Linked DNA regions of Tribolium castaneum. The protein of the gene in region 2 interacts with the protein of the main gene of each other region in a pairwise test. Links are inferred from orthologs where the notes say so. Each region holds a gene or a part of one and is shown on either strand. Other genes may lie near its edges.

Region 1 (5,110 bases), on a different chromosome or scaffold from region 2:
AACTGAAGCAAGGAAAAAATTAATTTTTTTCTTGACATTTGTTGCGGTATATGTCTATGGAGCCAGCCGACTAGACCGAGTAATAGTGTCCCCTTACCGCACTTTTCCGCCGCAAAACTGGCACTGGGGCCCCTGCCAGCCGTCGTAACACACACAAGTCTCATTTTTACACACCCCATTGCCGCTACAATCCGCACATTTGGCCTTAACAAGAGAGCAAACATTTAAAACCACAACAGCACAACACAAAGCCTGCCACACGTAACATTTTCGACGGTATTTCGACTTGAACAAGAACAAAAACATTTGGAAAATTTCTAACATCTTATTACCACCATTACTTTACAGTTGCATTACGTCGACGTCAAAACAAAACGGTAAATTTTAATTGAAAATGGACGAGTGGCGGAATTATCGATGCGAGATTAGAACGGGTGTTAATGATTAGGTGATGGTTTCTTCATTTCGGTGCTTTTTTGGCCAAGGGGTGACGGTTTTTTCAGAGAGATACTATTTTCCATATTTTTTTGACAATTAACTACATAACAGATGAAATGTCAACTGGCGGAAGGCTTGCACACGTAAGCGCTTAAAGTCACCAGATTAGGGGGCGGCTTTTTATTTTTAAGCAAAAAGCTCGTTTTATCGCTTTATCGAAGTAAGAACACTAAAAACGGACAGGATTATCATTTTAACGGCTCGGTTTGCGATAAAAAATGATACAATCCGATTGGCGCTACGCCACTCTTTTAACATTCCAAGTGAATGTATTATTGGTGGCCCCATAAATCACACATGTGGCTTCAATCTTTAATTAAATCATTGTTAAAAATACTGAATGCACAAGACAGCCGATTAATTTGCATGATATCATCACCAGATGTTTCCAGATAAGAATTATCAAATCATTCGACGAGTGGATGGACCTTGATTTAAATAATTTCAAGTGGTTTATAAAAAAAGGGCAACCTTCTCGCTTTTTTGATAAAAGATTTTTTATCTCATTTGAAAAAAGTAGTTTGGGCGCTTGTTATCGCAAGGTTGGCAGCACTGCGAAGGTAAAAAATGGCGTGCGTCAGCTGTTATTGATTTTTTGATCAAAACAACAAACATAAAAAATGAACTGTGAGCGATAAATTTGGTAAAAAAGTCCTTATTGCTGCAAAACGAGTGATAAAACAGGCGTGTGAGTCCTTTTTTGTTTCTAAAATTAAGTCGGTTTTATCAAGGCCAAAAGGTTATATGAAATTGCTTGAGTAATCTTGGCCAAATAAGTGATACTTGTTCAATGAAATTGGTTGTTCCGGTCAATATTGACTCTCGACACACATTACATTATATTTCCTTTGTGCTTGAAAGGCGCTTCTGATTTCAGGTTATCACCATCACCACAAGAAAGATGCAAAACATTTTGTTAGTGAGCGATTGACGAAACTTGCTAGACGGTGAGTAAACATTAATTAATCATCGCTAAATTTGTTGTTTATCACCGTTTGAAAAAATCATTGACGCGAATCGTCTTCAGTTATTTAGCACGAAAACTGTGCCTCGCTGCGATTGGCCGTAGATAAGGATTCTTGGTCAAATTAGACTTTTAACCTTGTCCATTCAATTGGTTAATCCTTATCGCTTGATAAACTCGTTCCAATAAAAGACTCTCCATCATCTTGCAACGGCAGTTTTCTCGTCTTAATCGAGCCAAGCTGTCTCGCGTTTCACGAAAAAAACAACACCGAGCGTTCGCCCCCCGTTTCCTCCTTGCGTTTTTCCAACCAGCACCCTGTCGTTAACAAATTCACCCCCTTGACAAACCCTCCACAAATGGCTGATCCTGGTGAAAGTTTAATAAGTGCCTTCATCGAATCCCTAACGAGGATTCACATCGTTGAAACAGCGGGCATCAACTTTCTAAAATTCCCCCAATTCCCAGTCGTCCAAATGCTAATGAAAGAGTTGAATTTGTGTGCACACGATCACAGCTTCGTACCACCGTGGTAAAATAATCAAAAACTAAAAACGAGTGCCTTTTATCGTCACTCAACGAGTGAAAAATCCACAACAGATGGGCGATTGAGAAATTCACAAAGAACGGACTCATAAACTATTTTCTTTAGTTCTTAAGTAGTGTTATTAGTGGGGTGAAAATGCCGATATTTGCCTTGCAGCGTTCTTACAAGTACATGATGTACGCCACCAAACAACCCTCTTTAAGGATCAATCAAGCCGATCTCAAGTGCAAAAATGGGTGCGGATACTATGGAAACGCCGATTGGGACGGTAAGTCCTCCATTACACGAGGCCGAAAAGTGTGTTATCGAGTTTTTTATCACACGGGTCATTGTATTAATTAATCGTTACTCCATCGTGAATTCACTTGAAAAAAAAAATAAAGACGTGTTGAGCTTTGCGTTCCTAATATCCTGAGAAAAACTGATGACAATTTTCACAACAAACCCGAGAAAAAAATTAAAGTGGAATTTATCAAACGATTTTTTGTCCCAAATAATAACCTTCGATTAAATTGGCCATTGGGTACATTATTTTTTTTAAGACTTAACAAAACCTTGATACGGAAATCTTCATTCTCATCAAGTGGTTATTTAACGTATATATCAAGTGCTTTTTGTAGCACTTTATTGGCAAATGGGAATTAGCTTTTTTTAATATTTTGATATTTACGATATAATTTTTGCATTCTTCTTTTTATCTTGTACTATTGAGAATTTAGCGCTTTGTCAGCGTGTATTTTTTGGTTTACCTTTTGCTAAAATACAGTCATTTATTTAATTCGTTGTCAGAAAACTATAATAACCCGTAGTCCATTATTACACAAGGCCGGAAAATGTGTTATCGAATTTTTTCCTTATCACACAGGTCATTGTATTAATTAATTATTACTCTATTGTAAATCGTGATAAGTTGGGTTTTGTTTTTCTTATCGCAGAAATTTCGAGAAATATTGACACAAACAATTAAATATTTTTCGTCGCCCTTTTGATGAAGCCGACGAAAAAAACATTAAGTAATTAATTCATCTTCGTTAGGTTACTGTTCAAAATGCTACCGCAACCACATGGACCAGGAGCGCCAACGAAAGGCGCGCCAAAGTCACTCCGACCAAACCAAAGTCTCTGGTTTTTCGAAATTCGAAGAAAAGAAGCGCCAACAAACCGACAAGAAGAACAAATATTTGAAAAGTTTGCCCGTTTTTCGCAAAACTTCAAGCGCTAAAGGTAAAATTGTTAGTGTTTGCAATAATTGTGTAAAAATGGGGACGGTGCAGATTCGGGTCGTCCGGAGCGTCATTTGGATTTGAGACAAGCGAATCCAGATGCTGATAAATTGACGGCTGAATTTATTTCGCTCTATGGGGTTTGGGGTGAACAAGTCCGAAGGGACTTTTTCAAGTGTGTTCAGTCGTTCACAACGAAGATCTACAGCGAGTTGGAGAATAAACCGATCGAGGATATTGCCGAAATGGCGCAGAAATATTACAATTTGTACAGTAATCGGGTCAATAATACGGAGACGTATCAGGAAGTTACAACAGACGTTCGGGATGAGTTGTTGGATTTTTTCGAAAAGTACGTCATGGTCAGTCTTTACAGGTTGGTATTGTTTTTATTTGACCCAAATTTATAAACGCGCTTTACATATTTTTTAAAAACTATTGTTAAATTTTCGTTAAAAAATGAGTTGAATGTTTTTCTTCTAGTTGGCTGTTTTGCCCACCGAGCACCAACGACGAAGAGAAAGACTTGATAATACAAGAACGCATACGCAAGCTTAGTTGGGTCAACGCACATCATTTAGACTGTTGCATTAGCGAAACTAGTATAGAAGTTAGGGATTTAGTTTACACAGCCATCACACATTTACTCGGAATGGATTCAATGAAAGCACCACAAGACAAGCTGTCTTGTGTTGTTTCCTGTTGTCAGAGTGTCGTCAAAGTTTTGCAACATTGTCAAGGAGGTCCAGTTAGTGCCGATGAATTTTTACCAGCTCTCATTTTCATCGTCTTGAAAGCGAATCCGGCACGACTGAAAAGTAACATTCTTTACGTAACGCGTTTTTGCAACGACAGTCGATTAATGCAAGGGGAAGCCGGTTATTATTTCACTAATTTGTGCTGCGCCGTTTCGTTTATTGAAAATTTGACCGCTGAGTCGTTAAATATGCCTCAGCAAGAGTTCGAGGCTTACATGAACGGAGAGATAACATCGGTAAGTGCCTGGGAATCGGCACTTGTGGCATGCGAAGGCATGCACCAGCTGTGCGAACACTTGTCTCTCCTTAAAGACTTGTCGATTCGCACGAACACGGTTCAAGACGAAACGAAAAAACTAACTGACGATATTTTAAAATTCAAAGAGGAGATGAACGAGAAAGTTAATTCGGTTCTGGAGCGCACTCCACTTATCATCAAGCCGCGTAAAACCCCAGAACTTAGTGAAAAGGTTGACGACACTCAAAACAGTCAAAATTTCTATTTGCAAAATCTCCAAATCGCCACAAGTAACATCGACGATGCCAAAACTAAATTACAACTAGACATCACACCGTGCGTTAGTAAAACATCGCCGACTGACGATCACAGTCTCTCTAAAATCAACTACGATATCGATTTTTCCGACTTAAGTGGCGAGAGTAGTTTGGCTGAATTGACCCCAGAAAAGAGAAAATCGCCAAGTTTCACACCGGATCCCTTCAGTCCAGTTGGGAGCAGTTGCCCGATAACACAGGCTCCTTTAATACCGACAAAACCGGACGATTTTGTTTTACCGTTCGTTGAAACGCAAGAAACTCTATTAGAGAAAGAGGACGAAGGACCGAATTTACCATCGCCGATTAAACCAATGACGGCACAATATTCGGGGTTTTCCAAACAGGGGTGGCAAATACCCAGCATTCCGTGCATTACGGGGGAGCTGGGCGCCAATGCATCACAAGCCAATAGTCAGACGAGTCAGGATAAGGAGAATTAACTGTATCAATGTTTTAAATATATTTTATTCCCAATTTTTCGTTAGTTTCATTTATTTCCATAGTAACAAACACTTATTATTCGTCACTATGGATACCGTGATCAATGCCATGGCAATTGTAT
Region 2 (5,047 bases):
GACGTATGATAGCATTATCAGTTAATTATTATTATTTATTAGATTACCATGGGTATCTGACACTTAAAATCATGCCAATTCGCGGTAGTTATTTGCAGGTAGGAGAGAAAAGAATAATAAGGGTGGCTTTGCCCATTTTGATTTTGATTATTATACAGTATTCTAGTTTATGTTAAAAGTCGTGAAAATTTATTGTTATTACAACTAGTCGAGTCGTAGAAAAAATAGTGTATGCAACACCTACTGTTAAATTCCGCGTATTTGCTACCAAAGCCGAATTCGTGAAGGCGTGCAAATTAATAATGACGATTCATGTGTCGTTATATTACCAATTTTTTTTATTATGTTTTTGTTAAAAATAGAAAAAATACTATGTGTTAGGCATTTCATTTACAAAGCTGTCTTACAAAACTCGTATCATAAACTTCTTTAACTCACCGTGTTTGTGCCGTCGACGAGGTCGGGTTGCCGTCCGAACTTGAAATCCTTTTTTCCGGAGAAGACTTCATAGATCAACTTGCCGTTAAAAACGGCAATCTTAGGTCGAAATTTTCGTAATTTTTCTAATAATATTTGACTACCCTCTTTAATTTCCTTACGAGTTAAATCAGCGCTACCCTTGGTTGCACGCTGTACCATATTTGTAAAGCCAATGCCTACTTGAAGTAATTTATAATCTTCGTCAGCTGATACTTGCTGTTGTGTTAATCCTGATAAATATAAACATTTCCAAAAATGGTTTCCAGGACCGGCATAGTGATGACCCTTATAGGCCGCAAATAAGCCCGGGTTTATCCCAATCTGCGAAATTATCAATCAATCAGTAAACCAACTATCCATTCAGAATCAGACTTACAATGATTATATCTAAATTTTCGGTAAGGTGATCCGGCAATGTTCGTTTGGACACCTCTTCTTCAGGCATCCCGTTAAATCGATCGTGCTTTTTTCGCTCCTTTATAGGCCGAGGAATCCCACCATTCATATCTTGATTATAGCCCGGTCTGGCAAAAACACGCAAAAACGATACATTAATTGCGTTTGTGGAAAACCCAACAAACACAAAAACAATTAATTATGCCAATGAATGCAGTGGCGAATCTAACCGAGACACGGTCGAGTCTATCCAAAAGATTATGTTTAGGCGTTAAAACTACCGACTGCGCCAATTCAGCATGCAAAAAATTATTCCAACTGGCAGCAACACCATTTTGGAAATGCAATGTATGTTGTAAATAGGAAGATGAGACGCCTCTTGTGTCTAGGAAATTCGTTTTGACTGTTTTGCGTTTTTGCCCCTTTTCGGCAAATCGGCACGCCACTGCCGCACGCGATCTGAATCACCGATGGCATTGGATAAGTTCACGAATTTAGGTTGGCCATCCTTCGCACACTTTCACTTGAGCGTTTAGGCTGTAGTATTTTTGTTTTTTGACTTACTCTTCTGGTTTAATCTTCTTTTTCCGCCCCCTTTTCTTGGGTCCTGTTGGTATGAGTTGGTTGTTGAGCGGGGGCATAGGATTGACAAGATGAGGAGGCCCTTGTGCAGCAGCAGGAAGCATCGGAATAGGATCATCGTCAATAAAACTGTAAGGATCTTCGAGTTTTTCACATTTCACTTCATGATTAACACTGGCAGTGTTTGAAAGCAACATATCAGCACTAGTTTCATAACCATCATCATGGGGTTCAAGTTTCATGTTTCTACACATAAGAACACAACCATTAACGTTGTTTAGAAACACTTTCAGTGGCAGAAATGGAGGCTCTTGGCGGAGACATCATGCAGGATGCACTGTTTTATTTTACTGTTGTGCAGTCTAGAATTTTACATCGGTTTCGGTTGCTGGTGTTACAAGCCAAGGTCTTTTAAGGGTTGCTCAAGGCTGTTTTTACTAGGCAACACGTAAACACTGAAGGCTGGCTGGTCGTCATGCAGAAGCGAAAGCCTTTGATAAGCAGCAGGGGTGGTATACAGAGTGTCTCAAAAAGCGTGGACCGGATTTCTGGGAGCGCTGCGATTGAGTAATATCGTTTCGAAATAGCAAGAGAGTAGGCGTTGGAGGTCGCATTTGGGGTCAGGAGGTGTTTACACGTTGTGTTTTGTTTGTACTTACAGCTTGTACTTGTTGGAGAAGGTCACCGGGTGGTTGTTGTAGTCGTAGGTGGCGATGGGTCCGGGTGGTAATGCGGAGACTCCGGAGTCCGGGGCTCCGGTGGCGGCGGCGGCGCCGCCTCCGCCCGCCTCCATGGTGGCTCCCAGCAAAGTGGAGGACTCGCGGAAAAGAGTTGCCACCTGCATCGGCGGTCGTCCCGAGCTGTCGCTCGTCCAAAAACGCAAAAACCGCACACACGTTACATCTAGCTGCTACACTAGCTTTAGAAAAACCCAACAACAACCTCACCCTTTAAAAATAGTCCCAACTCTGTGATTGGTTCAACGAACGTTTCGGAAAAATCAATAGAATGTTATCGGCCTGTATTTTTGTGGAAGCCTTGTTCCGGAGCTCATTGTCGGTGTCTCCGTCGGCGTCGCTTTCTCCGACGCCTGACGTCGCTTTTTCATCAGCGCATTCTAGGAAAAAATGCACCAAACTAAAAAAAATCATAATGACATTATTTCATTACACTCGGTAAGAAAACTGCAATACCGCACCCTCGACTACGTCTACTCTCCACAGAGGGCAACCCCTTTTTCAAACCAATAAAACCACCACTGATAAATTTCCATTTTACACCCTACATTTGGTATTTTTTTTCCCACAAAGTTTCAGTCAGCACCAGTCCTGTTTTTAAAGCTACAACATTTACCTACCCCAGAAACCTTGCTTTTTTTAAACGACTTTCCTTAATGCTCCCCTAAGTCAAAATTTTAGTGAAAAAATTGGAGGCTATCTCGGTTGCCACAAAATGTTTGTTTATTGTTTTTGTAGATAAAAATGTTGAAAAAATTACGTTTATGTTGAAGATTTGCCAAAAAGACTTATGTATTTTGGGTAAAATTCTACCATTTGAACGCATTATTATCGGATAGGTCAAGTTCTTCACGACATACCGAAGTTACGCATAAAATTCGTAATTTTTTTATTTTTCAAAAATAGGTAACTTTTTAATTTTAATTGAGCTCAAATTTGACCTATCTGGATCAGTCATGGCGACCAATATGGCGGCGCCATAACATCATCATAGAATTTTTAAATAGAACGATACCATTTTTCTTGTGTCTCTTTTATATCCCAATTCAGTTCATTGCAGAATTTTGCTATAGCGCATTTAAATTTTTTTAGAGTAAAATAAAGTACAAAATGAGAGTTTCTGTATAAGAAAGGAATTCTGTGTTAAACTATATCCCAGCGACAACCCACTAGAAACTCTCAATTTGTGCTCAATTTCACTCAAAAAAATACAGATGCGTTGTTGCAAAATTTGCCTTTTGTCTAAATACAGAATTTATTCTTTGCTAAAAGATACAGATTGCACGTAAAAGAGCAAAAGTATGAGAGTCAGAAATTCGATTTTCAAACAAAAATTTAAATGAAAATTGTCATTTGTACCGAAAAAAAAAATATTCAGTGAGGGATACAACGGAACTATTATAAAGATTGACTAGAAATTTTCTGTAAATTATTGGAATCATATAGGAATATTTTACATATTTTTCTAAAAATTGGAGAATTTTATAAGCACCTTATATATTTTGCGTCTAAATTTTAACTCTGGTCTTTTGATGACCCCTGCTTTTCCATTCTGTAAAAGTTTTACAGAGAATTTTTTTGTTGTATCTAAATGCTGTAATGTTCAATATTTTTTTATTTTTGAACAAACCAACATTTGTTTATTTGTAATACAAATAATAAATAAGTAATAACTAATATTTTTTAGTCAATAAATTATTGATTATCATTTAATAATTAATGTAAAAAATACGTTCACGCTATCTTATTTATCAATTTATTAGTTTTATCATACAATACCCCACTTTTTTCTTTGATAAAAATTAAGAAAATCAAATAAAAACAAAGAAGGGCGGAGCATGCGCGGTGGGTTCATTGTGACGTATGTGTTTACATGTCGTGTTTTCTGCAGAGTTGTGAAAAACAGTTAGTATCCATTATCAGGACAGTATTTTTGTTTTTTTGTTCGTAAAGTGCTGTAACTGGGTGTTATAAATTATCAAAATTTGGAAAAAGTTTTTACGATTTATTGCAACAATAAACTTGACAGCTGATGGTCAGCTGATGAACGTCAATGAACGTCAATCGTGTTTTGACATTTGTTTAGGTGAAATTTTCTAATACATTTCTAACACCAAATTCTTTATGCAATTACGACAAATTGAAGCTTAATCACTTCCAAAGTTGTTCATTTGCCCTGATCATGCTCTCGACAATGTAAATCGAGTAAATTAAATTCGTACTAGAGGTCAGCACACTGCCTAAATTTGACAACCGACAGTGTTAAATTAGAAAAAAAAAGAACAAAAATGGTAATTGTTGGCAAGGTAACTCCATTGTTAATACTTTTTTGTGTCTATTTTGTATAGTATTGAGGACCGGTGAGGATTTCCCTCAGGACAGTCTACATGTTTGAGGAGCCGTTTCCTTGTTTCCCAAAATATGGCATTAGGAACTCATATTTAGACCTAAATGCGTGACAAGCGTAAAAACAATGGGTAATTGCTTGAAACGGTCGACAACAGATGACATTTCGCTGTTGAGAGGTAGCGACAGCGTACGCGAGTCCTCCTCTGAGCAGCTGGGGCCCCCCAACTACCAGGTACGTGCTGGGCCACTTGTGGCCCACAATGTTTGTATTTTATGCACGTCCCAATTAATTACTTTCATCACTCAAAAAGAAAGTAATAGTTGTTTGCACTCTGGGAGTTAGTGACACTTGCAGAAATTCTTATGCTAATATAAGGAATTGTTTAAAAAAATTAACAATACAGGTATTTTACACAGGTCAAAAAAGAAATATAGACGATCAATTAAACACATAAGAAAAGAAAGAGAAAAAGAAAAAAGAAATAGATTTTTTTAATTTAAGA

Evidence for each region. The genes of interacting proteins can lie anywhere in the genome.
Region 1: the proteins of Rnf11 (region 2) and Rabex-5 interact in binary tests that used the Homo sapiens proteins (3 or more experiments, as listed by UniProt). The link is inferred for Tribolium castaneum from reciprocal best matches to the Homo sapiens genes RNF11 and RABGEF1.

What each region holds. Positions count from the first base shown.
Region 1 is NC_087395.1:26,380,342-26,385,451, forward strand, and holds Rabex-5 (rab5 GDP/GTP exchange factor), read left to right. Parts: upstream 1-1,652; 5' UTR 1,653-2,144; coding exon 2,145-2,277; intron 2,278-3,044; coding exon 3,045-3,233; intron 3,234-3,283; coding exon 3,284-3,608; intron 3,609-3,715; coding exon 3,716-4,988; 3' UTR 4,989-5,025; downstream 5,026-5,110. Other genes in the region: dsd (attractin-like protein 1), read right to left, coding at 1-2, 98-324. UniProt on the Homo sapiens protein: Rab effector protein acting as linker between gamma-adaptin, RAB4A or RAB5A. Involved in endocytic membrane fusion and membrane trafficking of recycling endosomes. Stimulates nucleotide exchange on RAB5A. Can act as a ubiquitin ligase.
Region 2 is NC_087403.1:546,642-551,688, reverse strand, and holds the start of Rnf11 (RING finger protein 11), read left to right. Parts: upstream 1-1,704; intron 1,705-2,117; coding exon of another isoform or gene 2,118-2,302; exon of another isoform or gene 2,303-2,581; intron 2,582-3,991; exon of another isoform or gene 3,992-4,100; intron 4,101-4,107; exon of another isoform or gene 4,108-4,486; intron 4,487-4,543; 5' UTR 4,544-4,668; coding exon 4,669-4,776; intron 4,777-5,047. Other genes in the region: uncharacterized protein Tdg, read right to left, coding at 439-801, 857-1,004, 1,441-1,704, 2,118-2,302. UniProt on the Homo sapiens protein: Essential component of a ubiquitin-editing protein complex, comprising also TNFAIP3, ITCH and TAX1BP1, that ensures the transient nature of inflammatory signaling pathways. Promotes the association of TNFAIP3 to RIPK1 after TNF stimulation.